Nothobranchius furzeri: one gene and its partner. Each later gene encodes a partner of the first gene's protein in a complex. Links are inferred from orthologs where the notes say so. Each region holds a gene or a part of one and is shown on either strand. Other genes may lie near its edges.

The links.
Region 2: the proteins of lman1 (region 1) and mcfd2 are in contact, whole or in part, in a cryo-EM structure (PDB 8JP5), measured with the Homo sapiens proteins. The link is inferred for Nothobranchius furzeri from reciprocal best matches to the Homo sapiens genes LMAN1 and MCFD2. Residues at the interface, in NP_005561.1 of Homo sapiens: His43, Arg44, Arg45, Phe46, Tyr48, Lys49, Ser51, Phe52, Lys53, Pro55, His56, Gln59, Ser60, Asp61, Val64, Pro65, Phe66, Trp67, Lys96, Phe265, Glu273, Lys279, Glu280, Ile281, Glu285, Lys286, Tyr289, Glu292, Phe293, Phe296; in NP_001164977.1 of Homo sapiens: Val59, Ile60, Asn61, Lys62, Gln70, Glu71, Leu74, His75, Phe77, Lys78, Tyr82, Asp83, Asn86, Asp89, Gly90, Leu91, Glu92, Thr95, Thr98, His99, Val100, Leu111, Glu114, Leu117, Ile118, Ile121, Asp122, Leu125, Asp129, Lys130.

What each region holds. Positions count from the first base shown.
Region 1 is NC_091746.1:58,648,640-58,652,456, forward strand, and holds part of lman1 (protein ERGIC-53), read right to left. Parts: intron 3,788-3,817; coding exon 3,664-3,787; intron 2,417-3,663; coding exon 2,358-2,416; intron 2,250-2,357; coding exon 2,117-2,249; intron 580-2,116; coding exon 392-579; intron 214-391; coding exon 137-213; intron 1-136. UniProt on the Homo sapiens protein: Mannose-specific lectin. May recognize sugar residues of glycoproteins, glycolipids, or glycosylphosphatidyl inositol anchors and may be involved in the sorting or recycling of proteins, lipids, or both.
Region 2 is NC_091752.1:7,128,799-7,133,412, forward strand, and holds the start of mcfd2 (multiple coagulation factor deficiency protein 2), read right to left. Parts: upstream 3,040-4,614; 5' UTR 2,885-3,039; intron 2,642-2,884; exon of another isoform or gene 2,535-2,641; 5' UTR 2,534-2,534; coding exon 2,355-2,533; intron 2,225-2,354; coding exon 2,065-2,224; intron 1,258-2,064; coding exon 1,126-1,257; 3' UTR 1-1,125. UniProt on the Homo sapiens protein: The MCFD2-LMAN1 complex forms a specific cargo receptor for the ER-to-Golgi transport of selected proteins. Plays a role in the secretion of coagulation factors.

The DNA of each region.
Region 1 (3,817 bases):
CCTGAGATTAAATATGATTTAAGAGATTTATCCTGCAGGATTTCCCTTGTTTTTCTCCGATATAACGGATGTCCCGTTATGTTTGCTGCAAAAACAACAGCTAGTTTCTAAAACCAAGCAAACTGCTGTTTTTTACCTCATCTCATTGAGGATTCTGACAACCTCCTGCTGTGTAGCCACGATGGAGCTCAGCTGCTGAGTGGCTGGATCCTGCTGGGAGAGAAGAACAAACACGGGTCAAATGAAGAACTCTTCTTGGTTTATGAAGTCACTAAACAGCAAAACACAGAAAAACCTGCTATTGTTAAAAGTCGGCTTGCCGTTTAATCCCAACGTTTTAACAAGAGGAAGTTATTTGTGTTAGTTTGTTTCCTGGTGATGACATGCCCACCTGTCCTGACACGGCGTTTGTCCCCTTCTTTGCCAGTTCATCGCTGACGATGGTAACGTACCGCCGCTGCTCGTCCAGGATCATAGCAAGGTTCCGGTTGACCTGTTTGATCTCCAGATGGATCCGGTTCTGACCTTCGAACACCTGTCGGATCTCCCGGTCGCTCGCACTTTCATACAAATCTTCAACTTACATAAAAACAGATTTAAGAAAATATAAATAAAACAAAGTTCTGGTAAAAACTAAAAACACAAATAAGAAAAAAAAATACATCTAATATGTTTCTTTACAATACAAACTTAAACAAATCAATAATATAAATTATAAAACAAGAAGCAGTTCTTGTCGATGAGTTTAGTCCAGCCAACATAAAATTAAAAACAAACACAGGATTTAAGGAAATTGAGGCTAAAATCAACATGAGCATTAGACTGAAGAATTATTTGATGAAATAAAATAATTCTGAGTCCAATTCTGATGGCTGCAGTAAACTACATAGGTCATGACTTCTGCCATATCAGAACAGTAGAGCTCTTTAAAATAGGACCTTAATTACAGTTTTATCTGAGCATCGAGTGATTTTTGCAAACAGAATCATTTCCATTACAAAGGTGTGATGTAGCAGAGCTCATTTCCACCCCGTTTTAAAGCCTGCCGCACACGAGAGCAAACTGCTGAGCAAACGGCCTCGAATGACCGTTTGCTCAGCAGATACCTCGCTGTGTGCGCCGGATTTTCTCAGAGTTTTCCACCTCACGAAACGCTGAGGTGAATATCTGACCGGTTTGATATGGTACACCTGACGGTGGACCGTGTGCGCACTACGTGAGCTGCTGGCTGAGCTGAAATATTCTAGTGGCCAATCAAAGCGTGTTCTCCGCTCCCAAAATCGCAGCCCCCTGTCTGCATGTCAGAAAACAAACAAAACGAAGACAGAGCTGGAAACGGAGGATATGCCTTTACTTTTCTGTTGATGAGGCGTCGCCGCCACCATCATTTCAAGGTTAGGAGAGTATGGGTATGGTGGCTGGAAAGAAAGGACAAGCAAGGCGTTTATGCCAATCTACTCCAAGAGATGCGCCTTGAAAACCCAGAATCTGACAGTACCGTCGCCTGGATCCTGGAAACAGTGGGCCCATCGATCCGCAAGGTACCGTTTAATTTTTCTGACATGCAGACAGGGCAGGGGGCTGCATCTGAATACATCATGGAATCATGTGAGCGGAGAACACGCTTTGATGGGCCACTAGAATATTTCAGCTTTGCCAGCAGCACATGGTGAGTTTTCACCCCCCGTGAGGTGGAAAATATCAAACTGCTCAGATATTCACCTCAGCGGAAAACTCAGTGAAAATCAGGCGCACACAGCGAGGTATCTGCTGGGCAAACGGTCATTCGAGGCCGTTTACTCAGCAGATACCTCGCTGTGTGCGGCAGACTTAAGACTCAAAACAATATTAATGGTAGCAATTATCTGCTTTACATCTTATTTTATACTTCATATCACTGCTGTCTGTATGAAAGTCTATTAAAGCTTATATGATGTGGGTCGAAAGTGGAACTGCAAAGCTTTCTTAAAAATTGGAGGAATTGCGCTTTAAATTGTAGCTAAAAGGTTTAAAAAGCTAAACTGTTTAACCTGCAAAAGAAGAACATTTTGAATCTGCTATCAGGATGTTTTTGTCAGGACTTTCTTTGGGTCGTAAGACATAACAGGAAACTAACTTGGCTCTCCTTGGACATCCGGGTGCTCCTTTTGAAACTCTTCTTTCTTCTTATCCAGCTCTTGCTGGAAGTTTTGAAATTCCTCCTGGTACTTGTCCTTCTCTTCTTTAGGAATCTCAGACTCGACTGGAGGCTTCAATGAGAATCACACACGCAAGGAGCAGGGGAGAGGAAAAAAGTGAATTTAGTCAAAATTCCTGTAACCTGTAAACTGTAAACTGGGACGGAGAGCCGTAGTTACCGGTTGTTGGCCTGGTTCTGAGAGTCTGAATAATAAGAAGGACAACACATCGTGGTCATCTGACGGAGGCAAGAAACGCGATTAGAAAATCACAGGAAAGAGTAAAACTCATGAAATAACTGTCTAGATAAATACAGGGTTAAAGTGTATTAGTGAGACATATGAGCACGTTTCTGCTGCTGCACTAGTTTAGCCGATTCATTTTGTTTTTCAGAATAAAGATAAACAAATTTTAGATTCACTAAAAATGAAGCGTGGAGCTGAATTTAAGCATTCAGATTAGGAATGTTCCAATCATGCTTTTTTGATCCCGATCCAATCCGATTCAGAGTCATCTGATTTGAACAATCTGCCGATACAGATTCCCGATTCGATACTTTAGAAATGCATTAAGAAAAAAGGACAACACACTGAAGTTGTCCTTTAAGTTTTTTTTATTCATTAATGCATTTATATATGTAATTTCTGTTAAAAAATCACTTGATTAGGAATTACATTAATAAAAACGCGTTCAGTACAAGAATAAATGTTAAAGTAGCCTAGTTGTCGATCATGTTTTAAATCATTTGCTCGGTGAGCGGCTGTTTTCTGCAACAGGGATGTCACGGCACACGACTGTCAGCAACAGGGTCACTCCGTTCTACAGAACACCTGTAGAGTTGCTGCGTCTGTAAAGTTAGGGAGAGAAGGCAGATCATACCGCGACTCAACCCCAGACGCTCATCCAGTGTGATAAGTGTGCTGCTAGCTTGGCATTTAGCTAATTCGAATTGCTGCAGCGGACTGAGCTGGGTCCGTTTTTTAAGATGGCGCATCAGCTTCGTAGTATTGAACGCAGCACTACCTTTCAACCACATGAAATGCCCAGTTTGCACACATTACACGAGTCTATTTCACTCCTTTTGATGTCTGTTTTAAAATACATCCCAATTACAGACATTCTCTCTCTCTTAAGGTTACAAGTATGTGCTATGTTAGCTAACTGCTACATGTTATGGTGTGTGAATTCCCAGACTACCTTAAACTGTGGGACTTTACAGCGTTGTCTGTGAAACAAAGAATAGTGGCGTAGAAGAACGTGTTTAATTTAAAACTAAGCTGTTGTTTTTCCATTTGAAAATCTCTTTAAGATAAATTTAAAAAGTAATGTTTGTTATTTAATAAGGTTAAATCCGATTTTTCCCACCCGATTCTGATTTCCTGAAAACCACATGATCGGATCGGAGCATCCCTAATTTGGATAATAAAAACACAGCTTTTAAAACTAAGACAGTTATTTTTGTAGGTATGAATTATAGATCGATACCTGCCAAACCACCAGTAGCAGCTGAAATACCAAAGAAGCCTTCAGAAGGAATAATCATGTTTTCCACCTTTGTGCAGAACTCATAGTCCTCTTTGTCTGGAGTGAACCCGTTGTTGATCATAACCTGAATAAGATAACACACTACATTATTTGA
Region 2 (4,614 bases), on another chromosome or scaffold:
CAAATGGATCCCAACAGCAACAACATCACAGGTGTGCAACGGACAGGATTTTATTTTACATTCTGAAATGTTCAAATATCTGTTTTTATTCAACAACCAGAACTGATTGAAGACAAGACTGAATGGCAAAAATAGAATTTATCCATATGAAAAACTAGATCTCAGGAAAATAAATATTCCACAGATGGATTCAGCAGAATTAATGACGGATTTTATCCTTTTTCTGGTGAAAGGCAGCGAACATCTGAAAGTTTACGTTCAAGTACTTCACCGACACCGACGTGGCAGATGTGTGCTTTCAGTAAGAGGACCTGCAAAGTGCAGCGTGGCTCGGCGTTCCGCGTTTGTGAGACGGATTCACCTCCAGGGAGGTCGGCATCGATCTACAACGGGATCCGATCGGAAAAGTGGAAACAAAACACCGGAGAATGGAAAAAGGTGTCTACCGCCAAAGGAGGTGGCACCCCCGCCACGCCAGTAGCTGTGTGTGTGTGTGTGTTTGAAATGAAGTGGTCCGTTTAAACATTCCCTCAAGTGCTGCTAAATGACTCGACTAAATCACCCCTACGACGACACGAGCCCACATTCCGAGTCAGTCCACAGACTTGTTTACCTTTTGAGACTCTGGTGCTGCTGCAGATCACGGCGCTGAACGTGGAAACCCGACGAGCAGCGAACCTTTGTAACATTCAGTCATTACAGACGTCGGCTGTTGCAGTTTGTCAGAAATAAGTTCTGCTGGGAAGTTTTAGAGCGACATCTCTAAAGGTCACCGACAGAACAGAAAATACGTCTTTCATGGAATTTACCAAGAATTAAACACAAAATTAAATTTAGATTACCTCAAACTTTGGCGATTTCAAGAAATCAACAAAGCAAACGGTGCAAAAAGTGTCTAAACTACAAGAAATGATCTGAAATGAGGCATAAAAAGTTTTTGTTTTTTGAGATGAACCCACCAGCGGTGCTCTGACTCTCCTGTATGAAAGATCAGAAGAGGACCGAGCCCATGACTGATTGTGAGATCTTTCCTGACGAGGTGCAGCCTTGTCTCCACGTATGCCTCCTGCCAACATTTGGCAACTTCTTTTGTCGCCGCGGATACAAAGGAAGCTAAACACGGTTCTACTCCAAGGATCTGGCAAACTCTGCATAGTCTATGTAGCCATCATTGTTTTTGTCGTCGTCCTTCAGGACGTCATCGATTAGTGCAATCAGGTCCTCCTCTTTCATCGGCTGGCTGTTCTCTCCTCTCTCCTGCAAGACAAAGTAGGACCAGTTTATTAGGAGTCTCGTTCCCATAGAAACCATGTCACTGTTTTTTTTAACAAGGTCACTGAGTCACACATACATGCTGAATGATCCCCATCCTGCAGTAGTCGCAGGCAGGAGACTGATCAGAAATAGCCGATCTCTTGCACGTCACTTGAAAAATTCATGGCCCCGCCCACCTTGGCTTGAGACGGAGGGAGCTAGTAGAAGCTAACCATTAGCGTTAGCAGCTCAACAACATGGCAGAACATGTTGGCTCTTGTATTATTTGTGGAGATAAAACGTTGTTGCATTTTTTAAACCAAGTAAATATGTTTTATGGTTTTTTTGACTTTTGAAGGCAGCAGACGTCATGTTGCTGTTAGCCAATCAGAGCTGAGATGTTTGCATGTAATAAATAATAATGAGCAAGACTTGTAATCTGATGTTTTTGGGTGTTTTGCTCTCATTACACGTAAACACAAGATCATAACACCCAGTTACACGGTCTGTTGCCTTGGTAACGGGGTGTGTGTGTGTGTGTGTGTGTGTGTGTGTGTGTGTGTGTGTGTGTGTGTGTGTGTGTGTGTGTGTGTGTGTGTGTACGAACTAGCCTCTTTAGTTGTGGCGCAGCTGCTGTGATTCTTAAACATGTTTTACAAGAACGTTTCTCATCAGAACAACATTTATATCATCTTGTTATGAAAACTGTTCTTGATATTATAACACGCAGGTCCTTTCCCTCGCACTGACAGGAAGACGCTTCCGTTTTGGACAGGAGAGGAAAAACAAACCTGTGGAGCATGGACCTACTTCTTTGTGTACATGCGTGATGGCTGTGGCTAGCTCCAGACCGTCCAAAAGGTTGTTTCCATCGTAGTCGTGCATCTTAAAATAGTGCAGCTGGAGTTCCTGGGGCGTCATGTCTTTCTCAGGTTTGTCTATCACTCCCTCCAGATGCTCCATGATGTGACTGATGACACAGAGAGAAAAGCAAACAAAACCACAGCTTGTATTTGCACAGAGTCAACACTATTTGTGGTTGACGGCAGCAGAGATCACTGCCCTGAATCATCGGTCAGCGTGCCGGAGGCATCACTCACTCCTGGTCTTGGACCATGTTTCTGTCCAGGCGACTGTGACCAGATATGCGAGCTGCCCCTTCTATTACAGGTGGAGGCTGGTGGTGGTGAGGAGCCACCTGGGACTGAACATGCAGCTGACAGCAGGCCAGGAGGAGGAGCAGAGCTCCCCAAGACAAGCTACGCCTGCAGCTTCTCATTCTGTGATGGATAAAAAGAGACATAAACAAAAAGATGAATTCAGTTACACATCCCCTGGGACTGTAATCACACCTGTGCGTCATGTTTCAGCCGTGTAACAACATCAGGTAACGTAAACATAAACAAATCACAAAGAAGTGTGCGAGCTTAAATAACAATCACGTTTCTCTTTTCTAACAGGGAGTATGCCCAAAATGAGCGAAACAACGAAATAACGCTAGCTTATTGGCTACCATAAGGATGTTTTGTGTTTGTTTCACGGCCGTTTAAATAAACAAAGCTTGATAAAAACGTCAATAATAACCAGACTTGTTCTGCTAGAGTTAGTAAACACACGACGTTGTTCCCACCTTTATAAAATTCGCGTCTCCGCTGGGAACGCTTGTTGTTTTCAGTCAGTCGCTGTTAGCACTCTGAGCATTTACGGACCAACTGGCTTGCCGTAGAACCTCTTGTACACGACATCTCAATTGTGATTGGTCAAAGAAAACAAAGATAAAATAAGTAAAGTAAGATGAATCACTACTTAACGTGGGAATTCATCAAAAGTACAAACACAGCCCGTCTTTAGCTTAACGCCACTACAGTGCTTTACTGTAAGTGCGTCAGTTTAAAGCATCAGAAGATGGATTTTTGTTTCATAGATAGTCTAAAATCACTTTAAACGAAACATAACGTAGTAAAACAAACTACACGTGTTTCTTATATGTTGTTCATATTTGAAATCACTGACAAGAGTGAACAACATTTAGCTTTCTCAGTGAAAAGTCATTTATACACGCTTGTAGAGAGAGTCGTGGTTATTTATGGAGTGTTTATTTTTATGTTTATGCATTTAGCAGACGTTTTTGTCCAAAGCGACTTAAAAGTGAACTATCTTAATGAAATAGACCAGCTTTGACGTGGCCTCACGTCAAAGGTGGGCGTGAATCCGCGCTGCTCAGCTGTCAGATTGAAACGACGCAGGGAAAAACAAACACTCCTGTGCGGTGGACGGCTGGGAGGACTGGCAGGCTCCTTTTGTGTCACGCAAATGTCAACCTTCCAGAGAGAAAGCGATGCATCCAAGTCCCTGTTCAAGATGCTGGAGGTTTTTGTTCATGTCATAAGTAGCTGATAGAGTCTCAGTAGTGGACCCCCCTCGTGTTTTAGTTCTGTTCAGCTGCTGGTGGGTTAGTGGTTTCCTGATCTTGACCTTAGCTTTGACCCCAGCTGTAGCTCCTGGTTTGTTCTTCTTTGGACTAAAAATATGAAAAATGTATATATAATAAATAAATAAACGTCCACAGACTTTACTGCTTTTCTCTGCAGCAAACAGTTCAGTTCAAAGTGAAGCAGATTGTTATTTATTTCACCAGTCTTGAAAATAACACGAATTCCAGATCAACAGAAAAATAAAGATTAAACTAGTCTGTTTTGTTTTTGTTTCTTTGAGCTTTTTTGCTCTTACTATAGCAAAATTCTTATTAATAGGAGGAAACTGCTCCAAACAAACTCCCCTCATTTGCATGTATGCAGGCAGCTTTGCTGCAGCTCTAAGCCATGCCTGATCCAGTTAAAGTGTTAATGGAAAAAAGATTAGGGACCAGTTTACACTCTGCCTTGAGACAAATCAAATACCTCTGAAGGGTTTTTGTTGTTTCAACAGATAAACTACAGACAGAAGACACTAAACCTAAATAAAGGCAATGACAAATAAAATGTGATCAGATAAAAAATAAAGTATTAATATTATTATTATAGAAATATCCCTTATTGACAAACGACATTCACTTATTTTTCTACATTTGCAGAGTTGACAAGTTGAAAATGATCCTATTTTGTTTTACTGTAACACCAAAAGGAGTTTACACGTTCACAACGCCACTAATAACACAACCCTTTTGGGAAATCCTCTCTGGTTCACGCGCGGCTTTTCTACGTATTCGTCTTGGTCTCATCTTGTGAAGTTGCACTGGAATCACACATAAAATAATATCATAACAACTTGTTAAAATACTCTGCAGTATTTACCCAACACGTTGAAATGTGCCCAAACTGATTCCATCTGAAATGTGTTTTACGTGTTTAGAAATGTCAC